2 linked regions of the Drosophila melanogaster genome follow. The protein of the gene in region 1 interacts with the protein of each later gene in a pairwise test. Each region holds a gene or a part of one and is shown in the gene's direction. Other genes may lie near its edges.

The links. Proteins that work in one complex are often made in the same cells at the same time.
Region 2: the proteins of Creld (region 1) and CG15043 interact in a two-hybrid assay, tested with the Drosophila melanogaster proteins (one large-scale study listed by BioGRID).

Annotation. Positions count from the first base shown.
Region 1 is NT_033779.5:100,410-105,897, forward strand, and holds Creld (cysteine rich with EGF like domains), read left to right. Parts: upstream 1-1,970; 5' UTR 1,971-2,049; coding exon 2,050-2,497; intron 2,498-2,596; coding exon 2,597-3,025; intron 3,026-3,106; coding exon 3,107-3,354; 3' UTR 3,355-3,468; coding exon of another isoform or gene 3,469-3,527; 3' UTR 3,528-3,733; downstream 3,734-5,488. Other genes in the region: Zir (Zizimin-related), read left to right, coding at 1-107, 163-294, 353-533, 607-785, 840-1,210, 1,467-1,509; Nhe1 (Na[+]/H[+] hydrogen exchanger 1), read right to left, coding at 4,064-4,538, 4,596-4,927, 4,982-5,046, 5,103-5,488.
Region 2 is NC_004354.4:18,492,260-18,496,882, reverse strand, and holds CG15043 (uncharacterized protein), read left to right. Parts: upstream 1-2,714; 5' UTR 2,715-2,800; coding exon 2,801-3,035; intron 3,036-3,108; coding exon 3,109-3,365; 3' UTR 3,366-3,690; downstream 3,691-4,623. Other genes in the region: Pgant7 (polypeptide N-Acetylgalactosaminyltransferase 7), read left to right, coding at 1-474.

The DNA of each region.
Region 1 (5,488 bases):
TGTACAAAATTCTAATACCCATATGCGAGGCTAACAGAGATTTTCAAAAGCTAAGCAAAGTTCATGGCAAATTGCAGGAGGCATTTAATCGAATATCCCAACTACAGGTAACAATATTGTGTAAATTTTACCAACGGAAAATATATACATATTTATAAACAGGGTAAGAGAGTTTTTGGAACATACTTTCGTGTTGGCTTCTATGGCGGAAAATTTGGGGACTTGGATCAGCAGGAATTCATTTATAAAGAGCCAACATTGACGAAGTTGCCCGAAATATTTAGTCGGCTTCAGGTATATATTGCAAATTGGAAAAAATAGAACTAATCAATTTTGTTTCAACATACGTTAGAACTTTTACACTGAACGATTCGGACCGGACTCTGTGCATATCATTAAAGATTCCAATACCGTTGATATTAATAGCTTGGATCCCGATAAGGCTTACATTCAAATTACTTATGTTGAACCCTACTTTGAAACATATGAAATGCGTCATCGTGAGACATACTTTGAGCGGAATTTCAATATAAGTATGATATGAATTAAACAGATAATTTAAATCGAAATTTAAAATTATAATTTTAACATTTTTGGTTTATGCAGAACGTTTTATATATGCCACGCCTTTTACTAAAAATGGAAAGGCACATGGCGAACTAAATGAGCAGTGTAAACGGAAAACGATTTTGACCACGGCGAATCACTTTCCATACGTAAAAACTCGCATTATGGTAATTAGCCGACAGCAAATAGTCCTGGAACCGATTGAAGTGGCAATTGAAGTAAGTTATGTTGTAAAATCCCAAAAGTTAATAAAATTAAACGTTATTGCCTAGGATATTCAAAAAAAAACATTGGAATTGGCAGCTGCCACGAATCAAGAGCCAGCAGACCCCAAAATATTGCAAATGGTACTGCAGGGATGTATTGGAACCACTGTTAACCAAGGACCGATGGAAATGGCGAGTGTGTTCCTTTCCAATTTATCCGACGGAACAACTGTACCGACAAAACACCAAAACAAACTTCGGTTGTGCTTTCGCGAGTTTTCAAAGCGTTGTGCTGATGCTTTGAAAAAGAATCGCAATCTAATACTTTCAGATCAAAAAGATTACCAACGAGAACTGGAACGTAACAACGATCGGTTCATTGAACGATTGACTCCCTTTATTACTCTTACATCAGTTCAGAATCATGGCGTTGTCAAGTAAGTTTTTATTGTTATACAGTGAAAAGGAAAGTTACATTGTGTATACATATGTATTAAAATTCTCATGTCTTTCTTATTTTGTTCCTCAACGGAGTGCTCTAAATAATAGACATAAGATGCTTAATTAGATATTTATAGAATCCAGCCTAATATAGATATTACTTTACTATATGACTATATTAAAAACCACCAGTGCAAAAAGTAAACATTAACTTATATAATTTTTTATTTCTTTTCTAAATACATCCAATAGGGCCAACGCGTACAACAACAAAAGTACTCCTTTGAAATGGTAACTTCTTGCACACGACTTAGTCTGCAATCAAATTATCATACTTTTGGTCTTTCATGTCTAGCGTATCGGATTATTTTAAGTAAATCTTACATTTTAAATTATCGATCTCTATAATTGCTAATGTAATAGCATAACTTTTTTATGCATCTAATAGATTAAGCAAAATATTAAAAAGCGAAAAAAATAAAGTTTACACTTTTTTACTTTTACGAAAATAGTTAAAGCAACATGTTTCAAGCTACAAGGAGGTGCAGTTAAAGTGAGTGAAACAAATCGTATCCTACAGCAACAAAATTTAATTGTCGATTACCAGAAAAGGGAAGTATTCGAAAATGATAATCCTCGAATTTCGCATGGGTCGTTAACGGTTGTTAGATTGACTAAGAGTGAGCTCCGTGAGGCAATGGTATCGAACGCGACCTATCGGTATTCGCGAAACTTTCGAGTATACTATCGATGTTTTTATTTATCGATAGTGTCGGCTTTAATTACACGTAAACTCAGATAGTTTGCCGGTTAAAAAGACAATAAATAAATAAAAATGAGAATCAAGTATTGTTGGCTCGCAACGCTAGTATTCATAGCCGCTGCTTCGGCGTCATATTCTCCCGAAAAGCCTGTTCCGCCGCCCTGCAGGGCATGTACCCAGCTTGTTAGCTCTTTCAGGGCAGGACTCGAAAGGACAAAACGCGGACACGCGGGCGGGGACACGGCATGGGAGGAGGAAAAGTTGCGTTCGTACAAGAACAGCGAGGTACGGCTAGTGGAGATCCAGGAGAAGCTATGTTCGGAAGGAGAAGTGATAAACAAGGATCACTGCCACAACCTGGCTAACGAGCACGAGGCGCTTCTCGAGGACTGGTTTATCCACAAACAAACAGAGAGTCCCGACCTGCAGTCATGGCTTTGCATCGATCAGCTAACAGTCTGCTGTCCGCTGAACACCTACGGACCAGACTGCCTGACCTGCACCGAGTGCAATGGAAATGGTAAGTAATGATAACCAAGTATTACAGGCCACAACTTACATAAGTGTGTCAACTTAAGATTGCCGTCTTCGTTAATTTTACCCACATGACAAATTTCAGGAAAATGCAAAGGAGACGGAACTAGAAAGGGTAACGGAAAGTGCAAATGTGATCCCGGCTATGCGGGTCCAAACTGCAACGAATGTGGACCGGAGCACTACGAATCATTCCGTGACGAAAAGAAATTGCTGTGTACACAGTGCCATGCGGCCTGTGGGGAAGGAGGCTGCACGGGAGGTGGTCCCAAGAGCTGCCGCAAGTGTAAGAAGGGCTGGAGCATGGACTCGGAGGCAGGATGTGTCGACATTAATGAGTGCTTGGAGCAACAGCGTCCAAACCCTTGCCGACCACAGCAGTTCTGCGTGAACAATGAGGGCTCCTTTAGTTGCCTGGAGTGTGATCGATCTTGCGATGGATGCGATGGTGATGGCCCTGACATGTGCAGGAAGTGTGCGGATGGCTATGAGTTGAAGGAAGGAAAGTGTCATGGTAAGTAAGACAGAAATTTAATAAATTTGCTTTTAAGCAACGCATTGTCCACTGTATGTATTGCGCCTCCGATCATTTAAGATATTTCTGCGGAGCAACGCAGCAACTACGTAAGCTTTACGCGAATGCTCACCTACTTCGGAATGTGCGTGGCCACCTGTGTCATCTTCCAGAGCTCTACTCATATTGCCTGGGGTTGCATTGTTGGGGCGGCAGTGGCAGGGTACATTGCTGTTTCCGAGTACTGGATCAACTCGGAGGCAGGAGGCGGCCACCAACCCGAAATAGATACAAAACAGTTGGAGGAACTAATAATGAAGTCTTTATAAGTCAAAAGACATGTCAACATTGCTTTCCTTTTATGATATACACGAGCGTTTTGAAAAGCATAATCTTTTAACATTCCCCCAAGACATCTAACGATTTTTGTACTTCGTTTGCAGTCCGCAGTGATTCAAACTCCACGGTGCTCGGTGAAGAGTCCACGCACGAAGAATTGTAAAAGTAACCAAAAACGCACACCTTTTGTAGCCAATTTTACTTTAATAGGTAATATTATCAATTGATATGTAATTATAAATTAGAATTTCAAAAAGCAGGGCATGACCATATTTTTTTACACGTACCACACTTAGATATTTATTTGGTTTCAAAAATGTATAAAATCACAAATACAGCATATATTCGTATGAATAAATATTTTTAACTAAAATTACTGACGTAGTGTGCTTTTGTGACGTCCAAATTTTCATTTTGAAGACCATCTGTCGTGTGCAATGTAATACTGCTTTAAGCGGATTAATAAAGGAGCTACAGTGATACGAATGAATCATTGCATTTGGATCTTACAAAATGAAAATTTGTAAACAAAAAATATACACAAGATAACAACCATCACCGCGCTATATAAATAAAAACTCTAAAAATATTAACTAGAGGAACTTAAGCATTACATACGATCGTTCCCTTTGGCTTCTAAAGTTATCCAACACAGTCCGAAACGGATACAGAGCTCCCCCCACAACAGCCATTTAATCCCTACGACCGTGTCAAATGAATTTGACTTGTGCTGGCCGCTAGTCCTATCTCTTCGTCCGATTCATCTGAATCCAATGGACTCACTCGAATGGCTTGGTACCACTTGTTAGTCAGGTCGGCCATCTGTGACTTGCACTCGTGCAATTCCTGACTATTGAACCGACGTGTAAAAAACGGAATAAAGTACTTGCGATCCATGCGCCCAAAACGATCGCGCGCTTGAGTAAAGGTGACGTCCTCTTCCTCGGTGAGTTCAGACAAGTGTTCAGAGTCGATTGCCTGGCCCCATTCGCGAGTTTTCGATAGGGAAATAGATTTTGAACGCTTCCTACCGCTGCCGTTGCGTCGACCTCCCTCCTCAGCGGCATTCCTTCCAGAGCCGCGTGCCCGCCGTTTTTTTCCTGGCTTAAGGTACTTTAGCAGAGGCATTGTGGAGCCCCCCAGCACTAGCGTGGTAAATAGCACAATGATTAATCTGAAATTTTAATTCTTCAATGACTGAGCATTATTTTACAATCCGGAATATGCTTACGTTGTTGTTATGATGACGTGTCGTTTCTCCTGGCTGTCAAGATTCAAGTGCAAAGATAGCGCGTAGGAAATCGCTCCGCGTAGGCCAGAAAACCACATAATGAACTGCATCTTGTTATTGATCTTATGCTCGCGAAATTTGTTGACCAAGAACGCGAGCGGAAAAATATTGCAGGCGCGGCCAATTAAGCAAAGCACAATGGCCCATATAACAAAAGATAGTTCAACTTGGTGTTTAAAAGAAAAGATTGCTAATCCCAGATAAGCAAACACGCAGGTCTCAGCAATGAAAGCTAGTGTCCTCATCGTCTGCTGCATGGTAATTTGGGTAACCTACGATTAAAAAAGTTTTAATAATATATAAAATAGGGATATCATATGACTTACAGTGGATAGGTTGAAATGCGTGTAGTGGGACATGACGATTCCGCAAAATAGTATAGCCATAATACCTATAGTTGAAAAAAATGTTTAGCTTTTAGAGTCATAGTCAACAACATTGATATACCGCTTAAGTGTATTCCCTCTGCCAAGACGTAAGGTGCGTAAGTAAACATTAGCATCATCGCGAACTCGAGGGATGGATGCTTTCGTAAATCGATGTGCTTCAGAAGAAGAGCCGAAATTAGTGCAAATATGACTCCAATGCCCGCCGAAGCAAAGAACATCGCGCAAAAGGTCTTCAACGCGCTGAACATGGCTTCTCCAGTGCTGGCCTCAGCATTGACGTTAGCGGATTGGGTTATGGATGCAGTCAGCACAATAGATATGGCGTCGTTGAGGATGCTTTCGCCGAATACCAACATGTTGAGTATGGGGTCTACGTCAAGAGCATGGAAAATTGCCACTGTTGCCACAGGATCAACAGCAGAGATGAGAGAACCGAAGGCAAAG
Region 2 (4,623 bases), on another chromosome or scaffold:
CTGAAGAAGCGACTGAACTGCAAGAGCTTCCAGTGGTTCATGGACCACATCGCCTACGATGTGTACGACAAGTTCCCGGGTCTGCCGGCCAACCTGCACTGGGGCGAGCTGCGCTCGGTGGCCTCCGACGGATGCCTGGACTCGATGGGCCACCAGCCGCCGGCCATCATGGGCCTCACATACTGCCATGGAGGCGGAAATAATCAACTGGTTCGGCTCAATGCCGCTGGCCAGTTGGGCGTCGGCGAGCGCTGCGTGGAGGCCGATCGGCAGGGCATCAAACTGGCCGTGTGTCGTCTGGGGACAGTCGACGGTCCTTGGCAGTACAACGAGCACACGAAGCACCTGATGCATCGCGTCCACAAGAAATGCATGGCCCTGCATCCGGCCACGCAGCAATTGTCATTGGGTCACTGCGATGTTAACGATAGCTACCAGCAGTGGTGGTTCAAGGAGATACGCCCACGCTGGTAAGTCCAGCATGTTTGGGAGGAGCAGCAGGAGGAGGAGGATCAAGGAATGGATCACAAGGGTTTCAGCCGGGGCAACGGGGGCGATATTTTAGACAAAAGCAATTTAGTGAAAATGAGAAATGGAATTGTTGTTGGTTTTGTAACGCATATAAGTATTGATATACACACGAAAAACACAAGATATCACACACATCTGCATTTATGACGCGAACTGTATGTACATATGCACTGTCGGCACTTGGAAATCGCCTGGGCAACCGGGATTCAGACAAGGGCATTCAATGCTCGGCGAATAAATAAATCCACAAGGATATTATTAAATTATTAAAGCTTAAGAATTTCGATTTTGTAAAACAATGTCGTAAGGAATCGCGAACAATTGTATTTCCATGTAAGCATTAGAACAATTGCTTTTAGACCATATTTGTAGTGCATGAAGTGAATGCAATTTTCAAAATCGTGTGTGTGTGTTAGTAGTAGTCGTACTTGAAAACTGTTTTCCACTTTTGTCACGAAAGATCAAACTCCACAAAATGCACTTAGTGCAGAGCGTACGAAAATCATCACAATTAGCTGATAGTGAACCCATTCCCATTTCGATCGGCGAATCTCATACAATAGATATTCAATTGATATTTGGGAGGATCCAAGCCTGGGGGATTTCCGTGCCGACCTCGTGTGTGTGTGTCCTTGCGTATGAGTGAGAGAATGCGATGGGTATAGAGCGGAAGCGAATAAGAGCGAGATAGCGCGATGGCGGGATGGCGAGTCGAGTGCAATAGAGGATTTATGAAACGGGAACGGGACGCGATGACAGGGCCGCAGATTGTTTTGCTTTATGATTGCCAACTGAAAAAATGAATGTACTAACCTTAGTCTATACTCCTGCAAGTCCAACTAATCCTAGCTTAGTTTCAACGCTGCCACATTCCAATCTAATCCATTATAATCTATTCTAATTCCAATCCAATCCAATCCGAACCGAACCAATCGAGTCTGCAGCGAAGCTCGGCTCTCTTACTACTAATCCCATTATTTTTTTTTAAACTCTTGATTTTCGTAAAGCTCTCTGTACCAGGTAGTCGTAATCGTAATTGATCGTTGCAAGTGCTTCGGGAGTTTGATTTTTGAAAACAATATTTTACATTCATGTGTAACTTTAGAGTTATCGATAAGTCTGAATAATAGCATAGAAATAAAAACGTTTTCTAAACACTTTACCATGTAAGCCGAGCTGTTGAATGTTTAATATTGTGGGGAAGGGTCGATCCATTTATAAATCAATAGATATAATAAAGTTCCCATCTCAAGATGTGCTCACAATTTGAAACCTAAGTGCACAGAACAAGTTCGCATTTTTCGAAAGTTTTTAAAATTTCTTTTAATTTTATATTCTTTTGACGTAGGTGCACCATTAATGCCCCGCCAATTCTTTAAGTGTACGCATAGAATGGCGAGTAAATCCAATTTTAAGCAGATGATTCATAACTTATTGTTAAATCAAATCTACAATTATCGATGGCCGCGTTGATTGGGAGTGGTGATGATGGGTCGATTCGTCTCGAAGGTACTCGACGTCCCACTTCCAGGGAAGTCCACGGGCGATAAGATTCCGGGAAGTTCTTTCCTCCATCGCGGGTAGGGAAGTCTAAAAGCGCGAGGAAGGGGGAGGGAAGTCCAACAGGGGGACGCCAGCAGGTGTCAATCCTGGGGCAATAGATTGCGCCTAGAGTTAGTTTTTGGCTAATCAGGGCCTGAGGAAAAAAAAAAGATTGTTTGTTTACCGTCGGATAGGAAAGGTCGTACTCCCAAAGTGGGAGTCGTGGTCTTATCTTCCGCCCATTGGTACACCATCGCAGCTGCCGGCGGGGCGAAAGGGGGATGATTGGATCCGAGCGCAATAACACCGAAATTGTTCAATTTAATTGAGTGAAGTGGGAAGCTTCCTTATCAGCATTATTATGGTTACACTTCCGTGGGGTCGCTGCACTGTAAGGTGCTAGATATAAAAAAAAGCCCAATAACTCATTTATTTATCCTCTAAGCTCTAATTCAATACAAGAGTTTCATTTCTGAACGAGAAGTAGAGCAGTTCCAGCGTCGGTGTGACTCTTTTTCCGGTATTGGATTAGACATTGTCACTTGCCACTTGAAATTGGCAATGGGCCTGATAAGGGGGTACCTAATATGATTCAAAGAAAAACAGTGGGCGGTATAAATAGGTGGTTTCCAGACCTTGGCCATCATTCCGTGACTTCAACGTGCCGTGACTGGAGACCCTTAGTCCACACACTTCGTTTACCTCGAATTTCAATTCAACGCCCAAGATGTCCAAGTTTAGCCTCATCCTGTTGTCCGCCCTGCTGGGCTGTCTTGTGTCCGGTGGAGCGGCTGGAACAATACGTGTGGATACCACCGGCATCCAAGTGGTGGATAATATCCATGTCTTTGCCGCCCAATACCCGGGTCTGCAGATCCAGCAGATGGAGAAGGAAATTGTGCCGGCCAAGGCCCGCGTCGGAAGCCAGACCGTGCGCTACAACATGGGAGCCCGCATTCCGGGTAAGTTACCCAAAGCATACCCTACGTTTGACCGACCACCAATCACTGATCCCGCAATCTGGCATACTTTCAGGCGACGAACTGGTGGCCCAGACAGCCAACACTTACGAATTCCCACGGGCGCAAGATGTGAGCCTGCAGCTTACCTATCCGGAGAACGGCAAGGGTGCCACTGTATCCTACGTGGAGCTGCTCTGCACCCAGGACACCAACGAGGGCACCGCCTACGTGGTCGCCGGAGGCATCGGCCAGAGCTTGATCTCCATCGTGCTGGAGGCCAAGAACACCAAGAACTTCTCATACCAGGCTCTCTACTACGGAGTCAACTAGGAGGCATTTGCATTAGTTCCTCGCTAGCTTTATATATATATATATTTTTTTTTTTTTTTAAATGTGACTCCAATTTTAAATACATATGTATAATGGCAGACTAAAATGATTGCAGCACCTGCAATTATCTAGATTTACGTAATTAATTTCATTTCATTGATGGGATAAAGTTTATATGCTGTCATATGTTTAATCGTAAATATGCAATTAGATCATATATGTTTGTACTATCAGTCACTCTGTTAATTGAGTTATATGATAAATCAAATTCGGACCTGTTCCTCTAATTAAAAAATTTCATTTTTAACGAAGAATGTGTAGATCCAAAGATATACATGTACGTCTTTCACTGTGTACGATCGAATGTCGAATGTATTGCAAAGCTGAAAAGTCGGTAATGGTAGAGATCATATATCACCATCCCCAGGGTATTCGGTAATCTTGATCAATTTCAAATGGTTCGTTGCTCACGCGCCTTCCACTCGAAACCGATGATAGCCATTGCCATAAATCTGGGACAGCCACTCACCTGAATCCGCTGTGGATTCCGATTGCGGCTCCGTTTGGCATGGAAGGTGAAACCAAGGCGGCAAATCATCCAGGGATTTGTCTGCGAAAGAGTGAGACGCATGAAGTTTTTGTTCTACTGACGTTATTGAACTTTCCCCCTATCTGGCTGGATTTTTAGAAGGAATTCCCAACCGAATGAATCACGTTTTGGATGAGAACGAACAATGGCCAAACTCCCAAGACTTTGCGATTCAATTGGGTATTTATCATATAGCTGGGCATCTGAGTATCTGAGTATCTGTCTTCATTCAACTATTGGGGGGACTTTCTCTGGTGGTAAGTACGTCAGTCCAGAATCGATGTGGTATATATAGATATGTATGAATATAGTATCTATGACCATGTTGCGTAGACAGTCAATTGACTTTGTAGATACGGTTATTTGTTTATTAGATTGTTTGCCATTGTGCGCCATTATGCATATCAAGGCTAAGATTGTCGTGGAACAAATAAACAAACAAACACGCGCCATCACAGATCGTCATTCAACGGCGGAGGAAACATTTCCTTTATCCAGTAAGGTGGTGCTTCCTATCACTGGTTTTATTATTGGGTGGGTTGTCATAAAAAAAATAAAAATAAAAATCAACAACATACTATCTAGCCGCTTACTAATAGATTGAACTACGATAGCACATTAAGTTAATGCTTCTTGTACGCAGTCCGTCCAATCGTCCAATCAAATAAC